4 linked regions of the Drosophila melanogaster genome follow. The protein of the gene in region 2 purifies or fractionates together with the protein of the main gene of each other region. This does not show direct contact. Each region holds a gene or a part of one and is shown on either strand. Other genes may lie near its edges. The genes, in order: nerfin-1, slmb, ex and Cul1.

Evidence for each region.
Region 1: the proteins of slmb (region 2) and nerfin-1 purify together in Drosophila melanogaster (affinity purification with western blotting; 2 studies listed by BioGRID, with this or other methods). This does not show direct contact.
Region 3: the proteins of slmb (region 2) and ex purify together in Drosophila melanogaster (affinity purification with western blotting; 4 studies listed by BioGRID, with this or other methods). This does not show direct contact.
Region 4: the proteins of slmb (region 2) and Cul1 purify together in Drosophila melanogaster (affinity purification with western blotting; 4 studies listed by BioGRID, with this or other methods). This does not show direct contact.

What each region holds. Positions count from the first base shown.
Region 1 is NT_037436.4:907,468-912,851, forward strand, and holds nerfin-1 (nervous fingers 1), read left to right. Parts: upstream 1-1,644; 5' UTR 1,645-1,830; coding exon 1,831-3,240; 3' UTR 3,241-4,852; downstream 4,853-5,384.
Region 2 is NT_033777.3:21,124,451-21,129,449, forward strand, and holds the start of slmb (supernumerary limbs), read right to left. Parts: upstream 3,036-4,999; 5' UTR 2,545-3,035; coding exon 2,488-2,544; intron 935-2,487; coding exon 712-934; intron 1-711. Other genes in the region: CG5793 (uncharacterized protein), read left to right, coding at 3,528-3,604, 3,671-3,767, 3,897-4,043, 4,102-4,443; Obp93a (Odorant-binding protein 93a), read right to left, coding at 4,500-4,699, 4,754-4,910, 4,978-4,999.
Region 3 is NT_033779.5:429,200-434,232, reverse strand, and holds the start of ex (expanded), read right to left. Parts: upstream 3,007-5,033; 5' UTR 2,116-3,006; intron 1-2,115. UniProt on the Drosophila melanogaster protein: Activates the Hippo/SWH (Sav/Wts/Hpo) signaling pathway, a signaling pathway that plays a pivotal role in organ size control and tumor suppression by restricting proliferation and promoting apoptosis.
Region 4 is NT_033778.4:7,915,355-7,922,097, reverse strand, and holds Cul1 (cullin 1), read right to left. Parts: upstream 5,145-6,743; 5' UTR 4,990-5,144; intron 4,921-4,989; exon of another isoform or gene 4,764-4,920; intron 4,367-4,763; 5' UTR 4,135-4,366; coding exon 3,259-4,134; intron 3,198-3,258; coding exon 2,151-3,197; intron 2,095-2,150; coding exon 1,693-2,094; 3' UTR 1,125-1,692; coding exon of another isoform or gene 1,047-1,124; 3' UTR 984-1,046; coding exon of another isoform or gene 626-983; 3' UTR 519-625; downstream 1-518. Other genes in the region: Or43b (odorant receptor 43b), read left to right, coding at 1-330, 626-983, 1,047-1,124; CG12159 (uncharacterized protein), read left to right, coding at 5,746-6,197, 6,577-6,733. UniProt on the Drosophila melanogaster protein: Core component of multiple SCF (SKP1-CUL1-F-box protein) E3 ubiquitin-protein ligase complexes which mediate the ubiquitination of proteins involved in cell cycle progression, signal transduction and transcription.

The sequences.
Region 1 (5,384 bases), on a different chromosome or scaffold from region 2:
CAAGGCATCACCGAGTCCTCCGGAGGGGAGGACTTTCGCCACCCGGCACGGGGATGGATTTTGAATCAGTGTATCTGCGATGCCTTTCAGGACCTTCGGATGGCAGCCATCGCGGCCGAAGGACGACAGGACCTTCAGGACAATGCTCGCGTGGCTGGCGCACTTCTGAGACTTTTGTCGCCGATTCACTCGATCCGAAGTTTGGCCCAGGATTTGGCCTCGGATGCGTGCGCTATTTTAATTCTAAGCTGCATGGCAAACATCGATTCCCCTGGCAAAAGGCCACCCTGCTGCGACAGGATCGCCTTGGGAATACTCTCTGCACTTTCAACCATGCACTGCGAGAAAATCAATATTAGTAGCGCATTCAATTCATTGTACAATGTGTATTATAGCATTCTGGCGGAGTTAATACATTCAATTGAATATAAAGCTGAAATCTTAGATCAACTATGCAATTTGGGGGTATTTTCTTTTAGTGCTCACATTGTCAGCCCGTTTTGGGGTGGCAATCGTTGCCATGCACGTGCCTACCGTAATACAAGAACAACAACAATGGCGGCGTGTTCAACATAATATGCCATATTTTCCAAGAGCGAGAGTCCTGCGAATCCTGCGACGAAAGCCCTCGACGGGAATCGAAAGTGCATTCCTTTCATGGCAACCACTGTCGACTCAGTCAGCTCAGTCGGCTTCGCATTTCGATTACATTAATGCAAAGCACTCACACGAACGATACACGTCCAGGATACTCGCACACAGATACAGCTACCGTTACAGCGACAAGGATACGAGGATAGAAGCGATTGTGCGCCATGCTCCGCGGTGGTGAAGTTCGAAGTTCGAATCCAAGTTGTGTCTGCTAGTCTGTTAGTCTGTTACCTACCCCACCAAAAGCGAACTTGACGAGCTTAGTCGTCTGAGGCTGATAAATGCAGTGCCGCAAAGTACACATCGCGAAATTTGTGTATGAGATGTATGAAAAATGTAAAAATAGATAGCAATCCGAACTATGCCCTATGTTGATGTACTTTCCAGCCGTTATTACTTGTTACATTGTTTACTTTTATAACCATCTTGGCCAACAGCTGTTTAGCACCAAATGCCAACAAAGAAACAATTCACCTTTTGGCCCAAGGATATTCCCGATCTATTGATGAACCTTATGGTTACATGCTCAATTAACGACTCCATGGGTGTCAGCTGTTTTTTTTGGCAAAAATAAGGACAATGTGCTGCTCAGATTTCCGCTGAATACACAAACATACATTCATATTTGCCTAGGAAGGTGCTGCGATTTTGGTGCGTGGCAATTTCGGGTACCGAAACAACAGCTGTCGCACATTGATTTCTCCGAGTGCATTGTCCTGGCCGCAAAACGGGAGACTGTGTGGTGTGTGTGTGTGCGTAGGACTTTCACTCCGTGTGTATGTGTGTGTGTGGAAAAAAGGGTGACTAATGTGTGTGTGATTGCTAACAAAAGATTCCGGCTTTTGCGGCTCTGCCGGCGTCGAAAAAGGACAACGACTTCGGCCGAAAAGGGGGTTGAAATGTATTTCCAGGACGCCGGCACAAACAATGATTTCGAGTTTCGGTTTCGCTTTCCTTTGGCCTGTGGTACACATAAATAGCCGCCACCGAGTCCACCGAACGTCATTCGCAGCACAAACGTCGAGCCGACTGGAGGTCTTCTGCATAGAGTCCCAGTCCGCGAGGATCAGCGTTATCAGTTTGTTGTTAAGTTTGCTTAGTTCCCGTTCTACGTTCCCCGTTCTACTCCGTTTTCGTTTTGCCTCGTTGAAGTTTTAAGTTGAAAGTCCCATCGATGCCATGGCCCAGATACAGACACCGATACCGATTCCAGCCCCCGCGGAGCCCATTGAAAAGCTCAGCCACCCGCACAGCATTGGCATCCAGTTGCAGCACAAGGGGATGCCCCATGGCCTGGGCCTGCTGACCACAGTGGCCTCGCTGCCCCCCAAGTACCGCAGTCGATATCTGAACCTGAAAACCAGGTGCGAAATACCGCTGGATCTAACGCTGAAGCTTCCCTCACCACTGCCCAGCAGCGATGTGCCCATGGCGGCCACATTCGCGGAGGTCTATAGCGAAAATACGAGTGCTAGTTCCAGCGAGGTGCAGGGGGAGGTGACCAAGGTGGAGGAGCTGCCGGTGAAGCCCCCAACACCACCGCAGAGTCCAGCAGGGAAGCGTAAATTGAGCCGGGAGAGCTATGACGACGAGCCGGCTAAAATGGCCAAAAAGGAGGAGGAGGTTCCGGTGGAAACAGTAGAATCCACACCAGCGAAACCCGTCAAAGTGGCAGAATCTGCGCCTAAAACCAACAAGGCCTCCACTTCCTCGGGAAAGCCCTCCCGCAATAAAGCCACCCGCAAGCTGAAGTTCGATGAGGAGACCAGTTCCCCCGTCTCGGGCACCGTCATCCGACCGCTCGAGGACATCACCGATGGATCGATGCAGTACAGCAACGGCGACATTGACCCCAAGTACAACATAGTCGAGATCACGGAGGAGACCAAGGCGGAACTGGCCGCCATCAAGAACGTGATCGGGGACTATGTCTGCCGACTGTGCAAGATCAAGTTCGAGGACGCCTTCGGCCTGGCCCGGCACAGGTGCGCCTGCATCGTCCTGCTGGAGTACCGGTGTCCCGAGTGCGGCAAGCAGTTCAATTGTCCTGCTAACTTGGCCTCCCATCGCCGGTGGCACAAGCCGAGGAAGGAGGCGTCTAAAAAGGAGAATCGCAATACCACCAACCAGCCGGAGAAACAGCAGCAGGTGGAGAAAAAGTCGGAGGAGGAACTGGCCTTCGATTGCCAGGAGTGCGGCAAGAAGTTTAAGAGAGCCGCCTACCTGAGGAAGCACCAGCTGACCCATCAGAAAAAGGAAAAGCCAGCGGAAAAACAGTTGGAAATGAAGCCCACCACCACAACTATCACAGGCAGTTTTCACTTTAACCAGGCGGTGTCCACCTCCTCCTCCGCCAGCAGTTCGCACTCCGATGAGGGAGTCTACGTGGTGGGATCGAATGCCAGGGAGAACTACGACTATGACAACGACTACCTCTCGGACTCCAGCTCCTCCGCCTCATCTGCGGGATACGGACGGCTTCAGATTGTGGAACATGGTCTCACGGAGGAGGAAAGCATTGCTGCCGCAGCTCTGACCAACTTGAGGAACTGCGCCTCCGTCATCCAACACACAACCATGGCCCACTGAAATCGAGTGAGATTTATTTTTAATGTTAAGTTTAGTTTCTAGTTGAACACCAAACCCGATGCAGCTGAAACAGACCAAAGAAATAGTTATATTCCACGGAAATTTCGTTTTCCACTTCGTATTCTTAGTTAGCTATAAAATTTAGTTCTTAACCGATTCAGTTTCGTTCGCAAAATGAGTTCAATTCTAGTTAGACTCTAGTTTGTATCCGTACTTCGGCCCACATTCCACACGGCAATTTAGTTGTAACTTAATTTCTAGTCAGTGAATCCAAAGAATCTTGGCACTAGTCAGCTTCAATACGATCTCGAAAAGAGTGTCTCTTGTGTACCACGAAGGCATTTCTATTAGTCTCTAGATTTAGCTAGTTTAGGAACTTTTGGGAGTGCAATGAACCTACAACGAAAGCCAAAGCAACCAACCAAAGATTTATAACTAATACTAGTCAGTCATATATCCATCTACTCCTTTGCTCCTACATCATCCCATGACATCATTCATCACCCATATCATCCTTCATTCTTCTTACTACTAATCATCCCATAGCTTTTCACACTTTCATACCAATTTCCTCATGACTCACTCTCATCCTGTATCATCTTTGCATTTTTTGCTAATCATTTTCCAGTTAATATTCTACCCTTAATTCAACCCTTTAACAACTTTTTCAATCTGGAAATTTCTCGTCATTCTAGTCACAAGTTCTTGCATTCCTTCTAGTCACTTAGGATAAATCATCTCTATAAGTCAGCTTCAGTTCGATCTTACTAAGTTTGTACAAACATATATCGTTCTTCAATTTCGGATACAGCTTTAGTCATATTCAGGTTATATACCGAAACCAAAATTCAGGCAAAATTGTGCAGTAATAGTGTTTAAGTTCGAATCAAACCAAAAAGCAAACCAAATCCTAGTTTAAAGCAAATTCAAGCCCAGTGTTTGTGAACCAAAGTCGAGTGTGAGCTCTAGTCATTTTAGCCACCTAATCAAGCGGAATCAGCTTGTTCTCAGTTTAGTTTAGTTAGTTAAGTTAGGCATAGAAACGGACATTGGACCAGCGTCTCACTACCAGTCAAAGTATTGAACAGTACAACCTAGCTATAAGGGCCACAGGCTTCAGAACCGGCGGTTGTGTACTTAAAGCAATAAAATAAGTAATCCCCGATATCGGGACAATATCACAGCGCTATTGTTCCTTAGCATCAGTATGTGTAAATTGGTTGTAACCGCAGAGTACAACGAAAAGGGAAACTTTCGCTCAATCTAGGAATTAACTAACTCTAAGCTATATCATACATGTAACCATATCGGTTGAGATTTTGTGATACTACAGTCTAAGCTTCAAGTTTACAAGAGAATCGTTGCGCTCGATTGTGCATTAACAATAAGCTAAGAGGAGACAGATCATTGAACCAAGTATTTTTATACGTAATATACACCATATATTTTTATACAAAAACAAACTCTTGAAGACCTTTTTTAATTATATGATGTCTAAGATGTAATCGACATATATTTATCGGAAACCAATATATTTTTATACAAAACCCAATCTTGGAAAACCCATAAAAATTGTAAATTATAAAAGCTCTTGAATAAAAACGCAAAACTGAAAATGAAAACTTCTTGTTGGGTTCTCTTTGGGTTGTCAGGGAAAACAAACCCCCAAATGATTGCTTTATAATTGCGGCGAGGTGGTCATATATCATCTATACGGGGGTTGTAAGACTGGTAACCAATAATGATGAGTGCTCTTGGGTGATTCCTTATAATCATGCCCAAATAACGGCGAACTGCAGTAATGAAATGCCATTAAGGGCCATTGACATGGTCCATCGATCTGGGACCGACTAAAACAAATACCAAAACACACTAACTGCCAAGGCGGAAAAGCGGAAGTGGACCATTGAATCGGACAGATGCATTTGGGCACTGGGCTAAGGACGAGGAAACTTGATGACGATGGGGTGGAATCCCAGGGTGTTTTCAACTCAGTCTCTGGTCGGTCCATAGTGAAACTCTAAACGGGCCAAACTAATGATGCTCTCAACGGAAACGCGTAAAAAATGTTTAATCAAATACAAATGCATGACAGCACGGAAAAAAGGCGAACAGGATATGCCAGGATATGCTAGGATAGTACG
Region 2 (4,999 bases):
AAACATGCCCGGCAACAATCCGGAGGAGCAAGGGTGTCTGTCGGGGGACGCGGAACGAATCGCACCGGGTTCAGAGCGCGGCTTGCCTTTCATGTTGTTCAACTTTGTACCTGCAGTTTGTTATTGTTTCGCCAATTGCGTGTGTCGAGGGCTTAAACTCAGCTTTGTGCTGCTAGACTCGCCTGAGATTCTAATGGTGGATGAGCCATTTCTGAGCCTTCATTTTAGGAGGAAAACGGTCAAACTCCGATGGTGGAATTCGCACCCTAACAGCTGTTATTGCCTTCTTATCGGCTGCGTGAATTGGTTTCTCTATTGGTCAACTGGGATTACTGACCTTCCCATACAAAGCATGCTGTTGATAACAACTGGGTTATAAATCACGTTCTTGGAATGACTTAGCATGACTAATTTATCCGTTCAATATTTATAATATTTAGGAATAGATCTAACAGCTTCAAAAATGCAGATTAATATATGATATACCACTTCATCATTTCCTCACTTGTAGAATAACCACTATTGAATCCACAGCTAAAACTGCATTTTTAACGTTCATATTTTCATAGTCGTTGGCTAACATGTTACAGTTTACAGTCTTGGCCTAATACTTTGTTGTGAACGTAATATATCAATCTGTATGAACGGAAGTTATTTCTCCACTTCGACTGGACTCAGGTGGCAATAGCCAGTGTATCGGCAGGCACTCACTTGGCAGCAATGTGATAAAGTCCCGCTGGAGCATCGGCTTGAGATAGGCATTGATCTGTCCGTGTTGATAGTGGCACATGCGCGACAGCAGGTGCTCCACAAAGTCCACCTGGCCCGACTCGCTCCACTGGGTGAAGTACTGAAAGCAGAGTTCCCGCTCCGTTTGGTAGGTGGGCGATGAGTCTTTCTTGCGCACCGGGTCGTACAGCATAGTGGTTGTGAACTGTATGGGTGAAAAGTGGCATAAAGAAGCAAATTAATTATGAGATTGCATTTGTTTCGTTTTTGTTGTTGTTGTTGTTGTTGTGGGGCGACGATGATGTGTTATGGGGTGCTTCGATGTCAAGGGGCGATCGTTAAAACTGGAAAAGTAGGTAGCTGCTGGTTGTGCAACTTTTCTTTAGTTTAGGCTACCGACGACCCAAACTGGGGGCTTAAAATTAGGCAATTAGCTTCGACTACGCTGAGCGTTTCTTTCTATTCGTAATTTTTCTCATTTTTTTTTTATTCGGCGGCGAAAGAGTTTGCAAAGCGGATTTCTGAAGAATGAAAAACGCGACTGGCAGCGCAGCGGTAGAAACAGATCATTCACACGGCCAGTTTATAAATAATAATTGTATCGATGTTTATTTGGTCTTCCATGCTCATTATGCGCATTCTATATATAGACATACCCATTGATGGGCCCCAATTAAATCAAACGTCATCAATTAAACGCTAAAGATCTCGGCAAACAATTTTATCGGCGTGAAGTAAACAAATTGGTCGATTCGAGTGTGAGTGATTTGAGTAATTAAGTTAACTGCAATGCCAGCAATGCGAAAACCTTGCCAGTATTTGTAGTAAATGTTGTGAATATGTATGTACAAACATACTAAGTTGTATTCGGGTCGGTTGCCTTAATTTAATTGCCGTATTATGGTTTTTGTAAGCTTTAGTTGTTTGCCTTTGCCTGGTAACTTTGAGCTGAAGGATGCTACTTAAACTATGCACTGATTATGCTATGAGAAAGGTTTGTGGCAATAAGCAATATGAATGTATATATCCTCTAATTGATAGTTAATAATATCTCGTTTGTGTTTCGCTGCTATTACCAAGAAGCCATCTGTCTCATTAACCAGATTCCACCTTGAATCCGGCGAAATTAAAGCCCAGATGACTCAAGCGAAACCGAGCGAAAAAATTGAAAATAAAAAACGATTTTTTTGGCCCATTACTCGATGGTTTTACGCGAACTGACCTTCAGTAAGCCGCCTATCGTATATAGCTCCACAATTAAATAAGTACTGATTGAAATGTACACGGCCGTACTTTGTGCACAGCGTTTGTTATTAATTGTGTACACAAACTCGAGGCCAATTAACGAAATCTTAAGACTCGAAAACCGGAGATTGGGGATATATACATATATATGCAACGATAATTGAACAAAGGGGATGATGATGATGATGCTGGCGATGAATAAGTAGGCTAATGTCTAATATCCACAAGAGTTTAAGGTTATAGCCCATGGGATGGCTATGTGCCACAGTGTCCGAATTTAATAGAGTGCACGAGTGCAAAATCTGTAGTATATACGAAAATAAAGCACTAGCACACGCACACCAGTGTGTGACAACACGCATAGGTGGCGTAGGTGTGCGTGCCCCTGTGTGTGTGTATGTGTGTGGGTCTATTGAGGCGACACCTTGGGCAATATGTACTTAAATCGGTGTGTTTAATGCATTTAGAAGGGCAGAGATCCCGCTTAAAGCAGGTAACTTAGCGAAAACTCACGGCCTGTGCATTGGAGTTGGTTTCGTCCATTATTTTGTCAGTCTCCATTTTCATCATTGTGTTGTTTGTGTGTTTGTAGAGTTTACTGGCTCGTCGTTTGCTTCTCTCTCACTCGCTCACTGCCAGAGTTTTCCGTCGCACTCGCACTCACGCACCACGTAGCGTTTTTCGCTGATTTTTCGTTAACACGTCTCGCAAATCGCTTTTCGCCAGCGATTTCATATAATTTTTAGGTCGAAGGAAAATTACAATTTGCTCGTCTCGGTTTCTGTAGGACCGCAGGCGGGATGCGCGAAAACGGCGAGGCGAACGCGATGGCAAAGGCAAACTCAACTTGCCGAGGTCCCTCACCAATTGAGCGAATGTCGTATGCAAGTCATTATTCTCACCGCTCCTGGCGGCTTGCACGTTGTTTGTTTTTGCTTATTCAGATGACGCCAACTACTGGACACTCACTTTTCACACGGAGAATTTTATTTTTTTTTACCAGATCTCGCCCAAATACGGACTGCGAAACCACAAAGCCAAAGATGAGTGTGCACTATCGTTATCGATATCTGTCACATATATGAACGGTCACACTGCCACGGGCCAGTGCTGCAAAATACGGCAAGAGCACACAATTTCGTCGTTTCTGCTCTAAATTTTCGAACAGGTTGTTGCAATTACAACTATTTATGAAATGTTTTTAAGTTATTTCCCTTTCAGAGCTATGAATTGTAAGCATTGTATGGCTACCCAACACACTTTGCCAGCTCTGACAACTCTGCACATCCATATCAGCTGATTTCTCGATCGCTCTCTCCGTTTTCTGTTGTTATTTAATTGATAAACTTGTTGCGGGGGGCCACTCTCCAGATAACCCCCCACTTTTAAATTAATAAATATTGCGCAAGTAAGTGCCGTCCAGCTCGCCGAATGCTCACTTTCATTCGACCGCAGAGCTGTTCCCATTCTAATCATTTCCTTGAGCATTCATAATCGAGCTACAATACACATTTTTTTTCAAATTCACAGTGCAACTAACTCAAATCCTCAGGATGGCGTGCCAAAACCAAAATGCCGCCAACTTCTTGAGCAATGGCAAGAAAATTGTGGGGGTGGCTCTCAATTACATGTAACTCAGTGTCATAGTAATCTTGGGTCTGCATGGGTAATCCACGAATACTTTCTTCCGTCGCAGGGACGTTGTGCTGGCCAGGAACGTTCCCGTGCCCAAGGAGCCGCTCGTCTTCCTCAAGCCCACATCTTCGTACCTCCAGGAGGGTCAGCCCATTGTGGTGAGTTCTACAGAGAATTAATTAAGATAACATTAAGATAGTAGCAAGATAGCAAAAGTCCATAAACTGGAGAGTAAACGAATGGAAATTGAAAATCCCTCTTGTGATTTAAACTTTGTATTCCCCCAGTTACCAAAAGTCTTTACCAAGGTGGCATATGAAGTGGAACTAGGCGTGGTGATTGGAAAGCCCTGCAAGAACGTATCCAAGGCAGATGCCATGAGCTATGTGGCAGGATACTGCCTGGCTTTGGATCTAACTGCCCAGTGCAATTTGGTAAGAAGATGGATGCACTCAATCAAGAGCCATTGTTGTAATCAATAATCAATTTCAGGGACCAGCTCGGGCGGCCGGTCATCCGTGGACCTTGGGCAAGGGATTTGATACTTCTACGCCCGTGTCCCAGTTTATACCCATCGAAAAAGTGACGGACCCGCACAACTTGCCGCTTTGGCTCACCGTCAATGGAGACCTTAAGCAAAACGGGTGCACTGCAGACTTAATATTCAAGGTGCCCGACATCATTTCCTACGTGTCCAAGTACATGACCCTGGAGGCCAACGATCTGATCCTTACCGGAACGCCCAATGGTGCCGATGCGTTCAAGGCAGGCGATGTAATTCAGTGTGGAATGGCCGATCTCGCTAAATTGACCTTCCAAGTGGAGGCTGAATAAAAGTGAAGAATTTAATTTTGATGCTATATTCGGATATAATTGGATATGTGCAATGGCTATTTCTTCTTATTACTGGCCACATCATCACAGGCAACCAAATATTTCCACATCGCTGTGCAATCGCTGGTGTTTTTCCATTTGCTGGTCGGGCAGTTGATGTAGACCTTTTCCATGACGCAGGCCAGCAAGGTGGCAGGATAGAAGTCGCAGTCGCCCTTCTTGGGCATCCATTGGAACTCCTGCACCCGCTTCCTAGCTATTTAGAATTAACCATTATTAAGTAGAAAAAAACTTTCGTATGCTAACTCACCGTAGTCCGTGCAACTATTGAGGCTCTTCAACATCAGTTGCGACATATTCGGATCGTTTTTGTAGCGTTGCTGATAGCTCTTCTGCAATGCCTGGGTATTAACAGTGCCATTGCTCAACAAGAATCCATTGGTCCTGAAGGAGCACTCCGCAATACACTGAGGATTACACGTTTCCCAAGAGTAAAGCCAGTTTTAAAATGATATATTTTAGAGCGATACTTACTGCATGCAAAGCCACTTTATCC
Region 3 (5,033 bases), on a different chromosome or scaffold from region 2:
CCAGACACCTTTAAAGCATTATGTGGATAATATATATTGTTTTGAATTGAAATCATCGCAAGTAATTATGAAAGCAGTTTTCTGTATGCCGGGCTTAGTGTGCCATCAAATCGCCAAATAACTCGTCGTCTCTTTGCCAAACTGCGAATATCGAATAGGAGAAAACAGAAATCAGGGAACAAGCGACTGAGAAATAAAACAGCAAAGCGGCAAATGCCGAATTCCGAGCTGCGGAATTCCACTTGTTGTGCCAGTTATGGCCAAACAATTTGATGTCTTTGAAATGCGTGAAATGTCCCCGCCGACCGCCGATGATAATAATGAAAATGGTCGCTTGCTCGGTTGGCTGGATAGCTGTGAGGAGCAGCCAGGGCGGAGTGGGCCAAAAGAAAGCAGCCCACACGTCGTCGCTCGGCTTCAGTTGGCTAGGCACCACAAAATCGCACCACATCGCACCACTCTCCTCCACTGCGCACCACACCCCGCAGACGCGAAATGCCCAACTGGGCGAACGAAGGTGGTAACGGTGGCGGAGGCGATGGCCTCCACAATGAGAGCAGCAAACAGCAAGATACAAAAACAAAAAAGAAGCCGCAACGTGTGCCGCATGCCAAATCGGAGGCGTGCGAAACTATGCTGCCATAATACCGTAGAAAAATTAGCAGTCCATACAGGGTATCTTGGGTTAAATGAATGCGCTATAATACGAGTAACCAATAATTCTAAAGTTTAAGGTATTTTGATTATGGCTAGAATAATTCTTTGACCAATTCTAAGTAAAGAGGCTTTTAAGTTTTTGCCTATCTGGCAATATGTTGTTGAAACAATATTTTTTTACGAGCATAGAGATAAGTACATTTTTTTAATCCTCGAAGGTCGTTCATTAGTGTATCCTCTATATCTCTGAGCCAGCCTCGACTCCGATTGTCATTCGAAATTTGTTTAATTTGTTGTACATTTTAATTGCCTGAATTGTTCGAGGCAATGAGCAACCAGAGTTTTCAATGTTCGCACACGCATATCAACTGCGTGCAGGAATTTCAGTTTACGAAATTAATATTTTGAGTTTGTATGATCATTGCTGTTGCTGTTGTCAGCTTCAATGCAAAAGCCCATTGCCTGAGGTCAAGTGTGATGTGGAGATCAAGAGATACGCACGGAGATGGAGATGTAGACGTCAGTGCTCAATCGAAAAAACCACAAGCGAACTAAAACTACGATCCGGGGAATACATGTGTACTTGCCGAGATATAGATACGTCTGTCCGCAGATACAGTTACCCATATGTATATGATTGCCTGGTGGCAAAATCGTTTAACGATTAGCGTTTAACCGCTTAAAGCTTATCGACTGATACCCAAAGCGTGTGTTTTCACCCGTTTGTTTATCTTTCGCTGATTTACATTCAAGATGTCTGATTGCCAAGCGGTTTCTGATTTCAGCAATTGTTCCAGGGATCCCGATGGACGGTTGAAATTCCAAACCCGGGAATAACAATAGAACTCTGTGGAGCTTCCATTTTCACTTAATTGCATCGCCGTCGATCGTTCTGACAACCGTTTAAGTCGCCTATTAGCCATAGAACCTATCAAATTGACTAGCTCACTTGGAAATTGGATCCCGAGATAAGTGAAACCCTGTGCAAAGATACTTTAGGGCCGCATAGAAAATGTCAAAAAAAATTAATTAAATGTGACCGGTATTTAAAAAGTCGGTCAGGCCTACTATATAACTACATATGTATGCACATGTGAATGTACATATATATTTGACACAATAGTACTCTAAACAGCTTCCCCATTTCAATATACCCTCCGTAGAGTGTCAAGTTTGACTGACATTTGATATTCCATGGCCCGAAATGGGTTAATTGCACAATTCGCTGAATTTTTGACTCTTAGCGGGACGCAAAAAAAAAAATTTAAAGAAAAAAGCTGGCGACAACAACGAAATGTTAAACAATCGTTGGACGTTGGCGATTTTATGGTTGACAGATAAGAAATTTGCTGGCATTTGTTTTGTTTGCCGTTTTCAGGGAGTCATTAAAATTCCGGGGAAATGGCCCCATATGGGTACACCACTCTATATCTGCACGTGTATCTGTCCTTTTCTTACCTTAAGCCGCTGCAGAAGTCGGCATTGTTAATGCTGTATCTGTATCTGCTTCTGTTTCGGTTTCGCGTAATCCACAATAACTGGCTTTTTAATTTTGGTTTGGTAGTTTTGTTTAACTAAAGCTCACTCTTCGTGCACTCTTAAAACCGATCTATTGATTTGGCTATCGATAAGTGCCTAACAGTAAAATTTTCGTTTCGTTGTTGTTACTTTCTGACCTCTTCCACTTCCACGACGCGCGCTGCGACTGCGCAGTCAACAGCGATCGGGTCGCATTCCAGCGTCGCACATACTTTAATCAAAACTCACTAACACCAGAACAATTGCACACGCGGGCGAGCGCAACTGAGAGTATCTGTGTGCGTGGAGTCGTTGTTGTTGCGCGAAAGAATGCCGTTTGCTGGGTTGTTGTTTTTGCTGTTGCTGACTGCTTTATTTGTTGTAGTTGTAGTTTCCAGTGGGCAGTTGTTGTTGCGGCTGAATTTTTTCTTTTTGACCAGCACCAACTTTTCGGAGTTGACTTCAGCTTTTTTACACTACTAGTCGTAGATATTTTCGTGGTTTTAAGGCGCGTTTTCCCAAAATCAGAACTAGTTGCACCAACACCAACAAAAATCACTTTTGTAATTGAGGCGAGTGCGAAAACGAAGCGCGCTGTTTTTGTTTCAGTGAAAACCGAACTTCACTTTAAGCAACTGAATCTGTGTAGCTCTGTGTGTGTCTGGGCGATCTGGTGTGCGTGCGGTGTGCATTTAAGATCTGAAGAACAACTTTTCCGAATGTTAGGTCTCGAATAAATTCATTAAACCGAATTTATATTTCCCAGTGGAAAGCACATGCTTTGCTGTCCCGACGATCTGTTCGGTTACCGTTGACGTTTAGCGATATACTGATTTTGCCCCTGCTCAGCGAAACCGAACACAACGAAGATCGAGTCGAGATTTCGTTAAAACTTAACGAAGCCGCGTTTAACGAAAAGAGAGCCCAAGAGAGAATTCGAATTCGAAAGAAGCGCACACAGCGATACACAAACCCGATGGCAACAACAACAACGGCTACGAAAATGTAAATAGCAATAAGCAATAAAAGAAAAACAAACTTCAAAGGAGAATCCCAGTAGCCAACTACATAGTGTGTGCGTCCGTGTGAGTAGTGGAATTCCAATGGCTTATCTCGCGAGACGACGATTCCGATTCTCAAGGGCTTAAAGGATACCCTGTTAGGATAGCAGATTTAAGTAAAATGCATATGAGAATTTTAACAAAGGTACCTTTCTTTCTAATTCTGCTTTTTATCACATGCTATCTTGTAGTTTACATTGTATATTACAATTACATTATGAGTTCTATCTTTTGGCATTCACTTTTTGCCAAACTATGGCGGAAGCCTATTGGATTCAAATCTAGCTTTCAGTATCCCTGCGCTAGCCATCGATGCGACTATCTTATAAATAAACTCTCTGGGCAAAACTCCAGATACAGATGCACTGGACGAGGGAGAATCGGAATCGGAACTTGAGGGTCTGAAGACTCTGCCTCTATCGGCGTCCTCTGCTGCTACGATATCGTCACTTGGGCGCATTCCTCAGCATAATGTGAGCTTGATTTGCTGGATTCTTTTTGCTCCCTCTTCCCTCTTTTTCTCTTCTTTAGATTTCCTCCTTTTCATTTCCCCTCCTCCACCTCTTCAACCATCATTTGCTTCAAATATGCGGCATACACACGCCCCACGAAAGGGCGGGGATCAGTGTAAGCCAAGTAAGGTTTTAACCAGTTCGTCCAAGGGGCTACTTAGAAAAATCCACAGAAAACAAAATTTAGATTATATGGAAAAAAGTCTAAATGATATAAAAATCGTAACTAAACACAACCAAAAGACTATATAATGATGATCGAAGTTGTGCCCCGGTGCCAAACCCTCGCTACGCCCCTGAAGACCCGGCCAAAAGTCGAAGACTCAGAATTGGAGAGTCAAGGGGTCGGGGTCGGGTCGTCTTGCCATGGACATAACTTGTTGACTGAAGTCAGGGAAGTGGTGGGGCAGGGGTAGAAATTGGGCGAGACATTCCGGTGAGGCGGGGTTTCGATGGGAACAACTCGCACAGCCTTTGATTTCTTTGAGTGTACTTTGCGTTGTGGTGTCTGCTATACCCTGTTTGGGATACAACGGGAAGAATTAAAAAAGGTTTGTAGGTTTCAAAAAAAGTACATGCCACTCCTGGGACAAATTTTGAAAATTTCTCTATTGACAAGCCTATGGTGTAAGGGAATTTGAGTAAAGGTAGTTTGTTACCCACCGGATCAGTCTGACTACAAGAGATCTAGAGTACTTCCATCTTCGACTTGAAGCCCAAGCTTTTCATTCTTGTTTTTTTTTTTTGTTTTGTGGCTGTTCGTTATTCTTTCGTCTTTGGTCGATCGCTTGGTCGCTGGTTCTCTAAGACCGGTTGTTGTTGTTGCTGTAAGCAGCCTTTTGGGAACTACGTTCTTGGTCAATATCGTGTAGATATACATACGTTCTATATCTGTGCTTGTGTGTGTGCGAGGTTTGGAGCCTGGTCGAGGCCGAAGTTTTGAGCGAGGAGAGTGAAAAAATAAAAAAAGAACGGCCAAAAATGTTTTATGCAATTCCTTGAAGTCGATTTCAGTCTCCAGTCTCCCGGTCCAGAGAATCGCTTTTGCGGAATTGGCGCGCATTTCTGGCCTTTTTTTTTGGCAAAGTGATCTTTCAGCCAAGAGCAGCTGCCATTGATCCTCTTTCTATTCAAAATTCCTCGTGCTCTTTGCGGTCTTGGGCAGAGCCAAAGTCGCTGGCGATGATGATATGGCGAGGAGGCCAGGAATTTATTGAATAAGTTGGCATATGACGCGGGTACCAACCCACTGATGTGGATGTGGTGTGTGTTGCTGTTTCTGGCG
Region 4 (6,743 bases), on a different chromosome or scaffold from region 2:
CCTCTACGCCACCTCCACGCTACTGGACGGACTACTGCACCACCGTGTTCCCTACAATACGTACTATCCGTTCATAAACTGGCGAGTCGATCGGACCCAGATGTACATCCAGAGTTTTCTGGAGTACTTCACCGTGGGTTATGCCATATATGTGGCCACCGCCACCGATTCCTACCCTGTGATTTACGTGGCAGCCCTGCGAACTCATATTCTCTTGCTCAAGGACCGTATCATTTACTTGGGCGATCCCAGCAACGAGGGTAGCAGCGACCCGAGCTACATGTTTAAATCGTTGGTGGATTGTATCAAGGCACACAGAACCATGCTAAAGTAAGTCAGTTTCATTATCCTACCGGAAATATCAACAACCGTGAATTATGTTTTCACTCAACGGATCTGAATTTATTCGGAAAACTGAATAAAAGTACAACTTTTATAAGAACTCGCTATTGATATTTCTGAATATATAAGAGTATATTTTTACATTCAGGATAAAATAAATGGTATATCAAACGATTCGACATAAAACTATTTTATTTCAAATAAATTAGCTTACATTTTTTAAAATATATGCATTAATTTAAATTTTCAATGTTAAAAACCCATCCCACTGTTTCCCATGCAGTTTTTGTGATGCCATTCAACCAATCATCTCTGGCACGATATTTGCCCAATTCATCATATGCGGATCGATCCTGGGCATAATTATGATCAACATGGTATTGTTCGCTGATCAATCGACCCGATTCGGCATAGTCATCTACGTTATGGCCGTCCTTCTGCAGACTTTTCCGCTTTGCTTCTACTGCAACGCCATCGTGGACGACTGCAAAGAACTGGCCCACGCACTTTTCCATTCCGCCTGGTGGGTGCAGGACAAGCGATACCAGCGGACTGTCATCCAGTTCCTGCAGAAACTGCAGCAGCCCATGACCTTCACCGCCATGAACATATTTAACATTAATTTGGCCACTAACATCAATGTAAGTCCACTGCTCTCGGTTAGAACGGGGAAGGAAGCAAAGTCCGAACTTCAATCCTTGCAGGTAGCCAAGTTCGCCTTCACCGTGTACGCCATCGCGAGCGGTATGAACCTGGACCAAAAGTTAAGCATTAAGGAATAGAAAGGAATACTCAATACAATTGACCGCACCAGAGGTAAACGTACATAGTTTTATGAACTTAACACTTTTTTGCTTCGTAGAATTATAATAATTGTATATGCATACAGCGAATTATGAATAAACATAATCTAGTTAAAACAAATATTGATCGAACAATGGGAAGTAAAGAAAATCGCTACATATGTATACCGTACAGCCCCTGCAGAAGTCTATTTGTAGGCTGGGAACCTGGAACCTTGTCCTCGGCAATTGGAATATGTTCCTACAGAGGCCGGATTCATCGGCTGTGATCTGGTCAATAGGTTCACTTGATCCCTGCGACTGGCCTTTTCTTTGAATGAGGTGCTGGGTGTCGGAAGATGGAGTTAGTGACGCGTTGGCGAGAATTGCACATTTTATGCGAAGCATGGAGTATTTTTAGCTCGCTTCTAGTTCGAATGTTTCGGCGGCAGTTTATTTCGGGCTAGGAGGAAGGGTAGCGGAGGGTCGACACGAATCTAAGTTTATTGATGATATTTTTAATGGCTGGCATAGATGAAACAGCGAAAGTTGTTCATTTAACAAAAACTTAGGCGAGATAACTATATGTGTCTTTGTGTCCCTCCATTCGCTCTAGATACTCCTTCTCGATCAGGATGTCTATGCACTTCTTGATCACGGGCACCTTAGGCTTAAAGCGCGTTGACAGCTGATTAAGCACCTCCGATATGAGATTGGTGTGGTTGAGTCGTTTGCGCATCTTCATGATGCGGACGATCGCCGCCTGGATCAGTAATTTTCGGTCCTCCTCTATGTGCTTATGTACAGTCTCCTGCTCCACTTTAAGTTCAGTCTTCAAAGGCTGGTTGATGTTAATTCGGCGCTTCTTGTTTTTGTAATCGAGGAACAGCTCCACCGTCGACTCTGGCGTCAGCGAGTTCTCATTGTCGCTGGAGGTCAGCACCTTCGCCTTGAGCAGTATTTGCAATACCTGAAGAAATTCTTACATAAGTCTCTATTAATTCTATCTATTGACACTACTCTCACCTGAATCAAGTTCTCCTGCTGCGTCTGTGTGTTGTCCTGCAGTTGCTGGACTGTAAAACTGAGCTGATCGTTAAACTGGAGCAGCACTGACATTTGGAAGGTGCTGGCCTGCAGGGTGTAGGTGGAGGAATTATTGCGGTTGACGTTCATTATCAGTTCGCCCTTGCACATCTGATACAACCAGTTGAGCTTGCGGCCAGAGTGGCGGGCGGCGTAGAACTCATTGAACTGTCGCACTGACCGCTCCAGCTCAGATGGTAGCAGGAAGTTGTTGCTCAGCTGGAAAGGCCAAGAGCCTGAGGACAGGACTTCGATGCCAAAGTCTATTTCCATGGTCAAGTTCTTTTCGGCCAGGTACTGCTTAAAGTACGAGTTCAAGTCCTTTGAGACGCCAATGTCCTGGAACATCCTCTGAAGCTTGACGGTGTATTCGTAACCACATGTCTGCTTCAGTTTGGAGATCATCATAGCCTCGGCGTCATCCGAAGCCGATGTGTGGTTAACCAAGCGCTTAGCAAGCATCTTGGAGTAATATTTTTGGAAGACGTCCTTATCCTCGATATACTTGAACACGACCATCACCTGGTTAAGATTGTCCTCGAGCTCCTTGTCCTCGGGATTTTTCGAGGATTTTTTTAATAACAGATCGCAGTACTTGGCCAGCAATTCGGGCGACTTGCTAGCACTGTTTGCGATCGTGACCACGTTCGAGTTTATGAACTTTCCACACGCCTTGTCCAAAGCGGCCACAAATCCGTTGTCATTGTTGAACGCCGTCAGAACGAGGGCGTTGTACTTCTTGTGCACGTCCAGGATGGTCTGTACGTACGTCTTGGGATCGTTGGCCGCGTCGGTAGTGCAACACTTGGCAATGGCCTCCGTGCCCTGGTGGAGTATATGGTTCTCAAGGATGGACTTGAGATCTGTCAGGTTTTTGGACGAGAGGGCGACCAAGGAGTACATCCGTTTCAGATCATCGTTTCGGTCTGCGTTGAGCAGATTCTGAAACTCGGTGTGAAAGATTTTCAGATGTTTTTCGATAAGAACCTGAAAGACATTGATTCGGTTAGTAGGCGGCTTTAAAGTTGGACACGGTAGGCAATCCCACCTCTTCGCATGTGGACTTCAGCACATCCGCTGTGGTCTCGTGCAGATAGGAAAGACCGTTCTTTGAATTAAAGCCGCGGACGCGCTGCGTCTCCTCCTCCAGCCTGTTTTCGACGTGCTTCAGATACTCGGTGACCGTGTTGGTGGACAGAAAGGCGTCCGACTCCTTCTCGTAGAAGGCTGATGTGTCTGCGATGAACTTGTTTTCAAAGTTTTGCTTGTAGACGGATAACTTCTGCTGCTCGGCATCGGTATCCTCCTCGTTAAAGCTGAGCTCCACGTAGCACTCGATAACGTCGCGGACCAGCGACCGGTTAATGAGCTTGCCTTGACGCTCCTCCTCAATGGACTTGAGCACTGCCTTGGTGACCGGCTCATTTAGCACTTGGAACAAATGTCCCTTCCAGGCGACGAGGGCCAGTCGGTAGATCTTGTAGATACCCTTCTGCCCCTCCTCGCACTCGCGCTTCACCCAGTTCCGATTCAGGTAGTTGCAGATGCCGTCCAGAACGGTACTGGAGAACTGATACGACTTCCACTGTTTGGTGTAGCGCGACAGGAGTACCTCCTCGCCGCTGATGGCCTTGAACTTGGTGAGCAGCTCGCTCAGGTATGACTTGAGAAATTGTTCCAGCCGGTCGTACAGCTTCTTGCCCACCAGCTGCGCTCCGCCTGTCTTTCCGCTGCTCCGTCCGCTTGGAGCCGCGCTCACGCTGGTGCAGTAGTCATAGACGTGAGTGTAGAAACGCATGTACTGGCTGCGGGTGAGGGACTTCTCGTGCTCAAACACCTGCATAATGCCCTCGACCAATTCGCTCCAGATATCGTCCAGGTTGACGAGTTTCTGTGTGGTCTGGGAATTGCCGGAGCGGTTCATTCTGGCGGCGGTGGGTTGTGGCAACGGCCTTCTGCCTTCTTCCACTGGAGGATGCTGTCCCTGCAGTGGCGCTGGGCTGGAGAAGGCAATGACCCTAGGTGGCGAATGCTGCGCGGGCGACAGGGGATTGCTGCTGCTTTCCAGGTGGCGTCGTTTCGCGGCTCTCGTCCTTGGAGTTGTGGCCGGAATCTTGGCGAATCGGTGTTCCAATTTTGGAATTTAAAGTGTCAATCTGCAGATGAGAGAATCGGTACAAAAACGGAATGGGATTGGGAATGTAGTAGGCCTCGCCACGTTAAAAGCGACGACCCGAAGGTCGCCTATTATGATCCAATGTCACAGCAATAAAAGAGAGGCTTGCGGAATACACACACACACACACATGCACGCACAAGCTGTAATGCAATGCGCGGTGGTCGGACATGCCCTGCAATGTAGGGTATTGGCCAATCGCATGGCAGGTGAAGCCCCACCACCGCCCCCGCTATCGTTAGATCGTGTTCGAAAACCCAACTTCCTGGTTAAATAAACACTCGCATGCACACATATGCAGTCGCCCTCGCCTTCACACACACACCCGCACCCACACAAAGGCACATAAAGCCAAGAGAAAAGATAGCGGACATAACCATTTCACAACTAAATTGTTAACATTTTTTTCGATTTTTCACATAGCTCCCTCCAAACGAAATTTATTTTCCTGGTAAATTGAGCCGTGCGACTGAGTTTTCTTTTCGTGACGTCGTGATGGATTTGATTTCCCCTTGGAGCACACACACTTTTTCTCTTTTGTTCGCCATTTTCAAAGCACGAAATCCCGTCTCTTTGCATTTCCCTCATTTTGCTTTATATTACCTGTTGCCAGACGCTGCTAAAATTAAAACTAAAACTAAATTAAAATTGTGTTTCACTGCTTTGCTTATAATTAAATTAATTTTTTTTTTCTGTGAAAATTGCTAACTTTCGTTTATTCCTAACTATTAAAATGTGTGACCGTTCGGCCATTGCGCTGCAAGGCCCTCGACGGTGGTATCGCTTAAGACCAGCTATCGTTGGCGATCTATTTATTGGGCGCCACTATTGGTGGCGATCTCATTTTTCAGGGAATTCTTTACACGGAAAGCAGTTATATTATAGTTTATAATATCAAATATCGCTGTTAGGCTCTTCAAAGCGTGATGTAAAATATCGGCAACGCGGTTCGTATCTTAGATTTTACAAATCCGTTAGCGGTTACAGAAACCTTCTTATAGATGTCATTTTCCTGGGCACACTTCCTGGAACTTGAGAACAATCTATACTTTATATAAAACGATTGGTCTTAGCACTTGCATAATAAAACCCTTTTCAAATAATTAGGGTATGCTTATATAGTCTTATACAGGTTCACCCTAATGCCCGTACGAAACACAACTCCTCCAGGACTCAAACCAATGTGACCGTGTATAGAAGGCATACGCATTTACTTCAATTTCGATTCGTTTGCTTTGACATGTGCGGCAACTCTGACGCCAAGCAAAACAAAAACAGTGCAGCAAAGAAATTTAAAAGGTCATTGTTTATGCTTAGAAGCGGCTATATTTAGTAATTTTGATAGTTGGATACGAAAAGATGTCCTGTCGCTGCTTCTGCTTAGTGGCTGCAGCACTGCTGCTGCTGTTCTTCCACCAGCAATCCTGTGACGCAGCCACCCAGACGCCCCAAAAGACGGTGGTAATTGCGGAGCAGAGTGCGCCGGCTGCTGAGGTGGAGGCCAAAAAGCCAGTCGTGAAGAAATCGCAAGCAGAGAATCCTCCGGCAGGACCAAAGGATTCTATGGTGGTCGTAGACGATGGCGGACCTGCTCCGGTTGCTCCAGGTGCTTCGGTTGCCACACAAGTTTCACCAGGAGATGCCAAGGCACCGGAAATGGTGCAGCCTCCGGGAGGTCTTCCCGTGGATGATGTTCATGTTGAACGCTCTCCCATGTCCCCCGATGTGGACTTTCCGGGCCAGGCTGTTGTCTACATCCTCGTGGGAATCACCAGTACTGCAATACTGCTGCTTATTATGAGGGTTTATAGGTGAGTTAATGAAGGACATATCCTAGAGCTCTAGACTAGAGTCCAGAAAAGCATGAAAGGTTATTTCAAAGTCTTCCTTATTATTTTGTAATGCAAAGGTAAAACAGCAAAGAATAGATTTTTAAGGATTTCAAAAGTTTACAGCGATCCTTTATCGTGCCTTGAAATTAAAATTTCCAGTAAATATTGTTAGAATACTAATTTAAAACTAAGCGTAATGTTTAAATATGTAGCTTTAAATATTCTTATCGGTGGACTATATGCAAAACAGACTACCTATATATACTGAATTTTACTTTATACATACATACCTACATTATTAAGTTATTATACTAGCAATTTTTGGTGATAAGACTAATCGAATCGCAAATCATTGCAGGCTCCGACTTTCCCGGGCGGAGCGCAAGTACGGCGTGCAGGGCGACCGCGCCAACCAGGAGCTGACACCACTGCCCATGGCCATCGAGGACGTGAATAGTGACGAAGAGGACCACACCCTGTTCGAGGTCAATCGCCAGAACATACGCATATTATGAAATAGCAGAC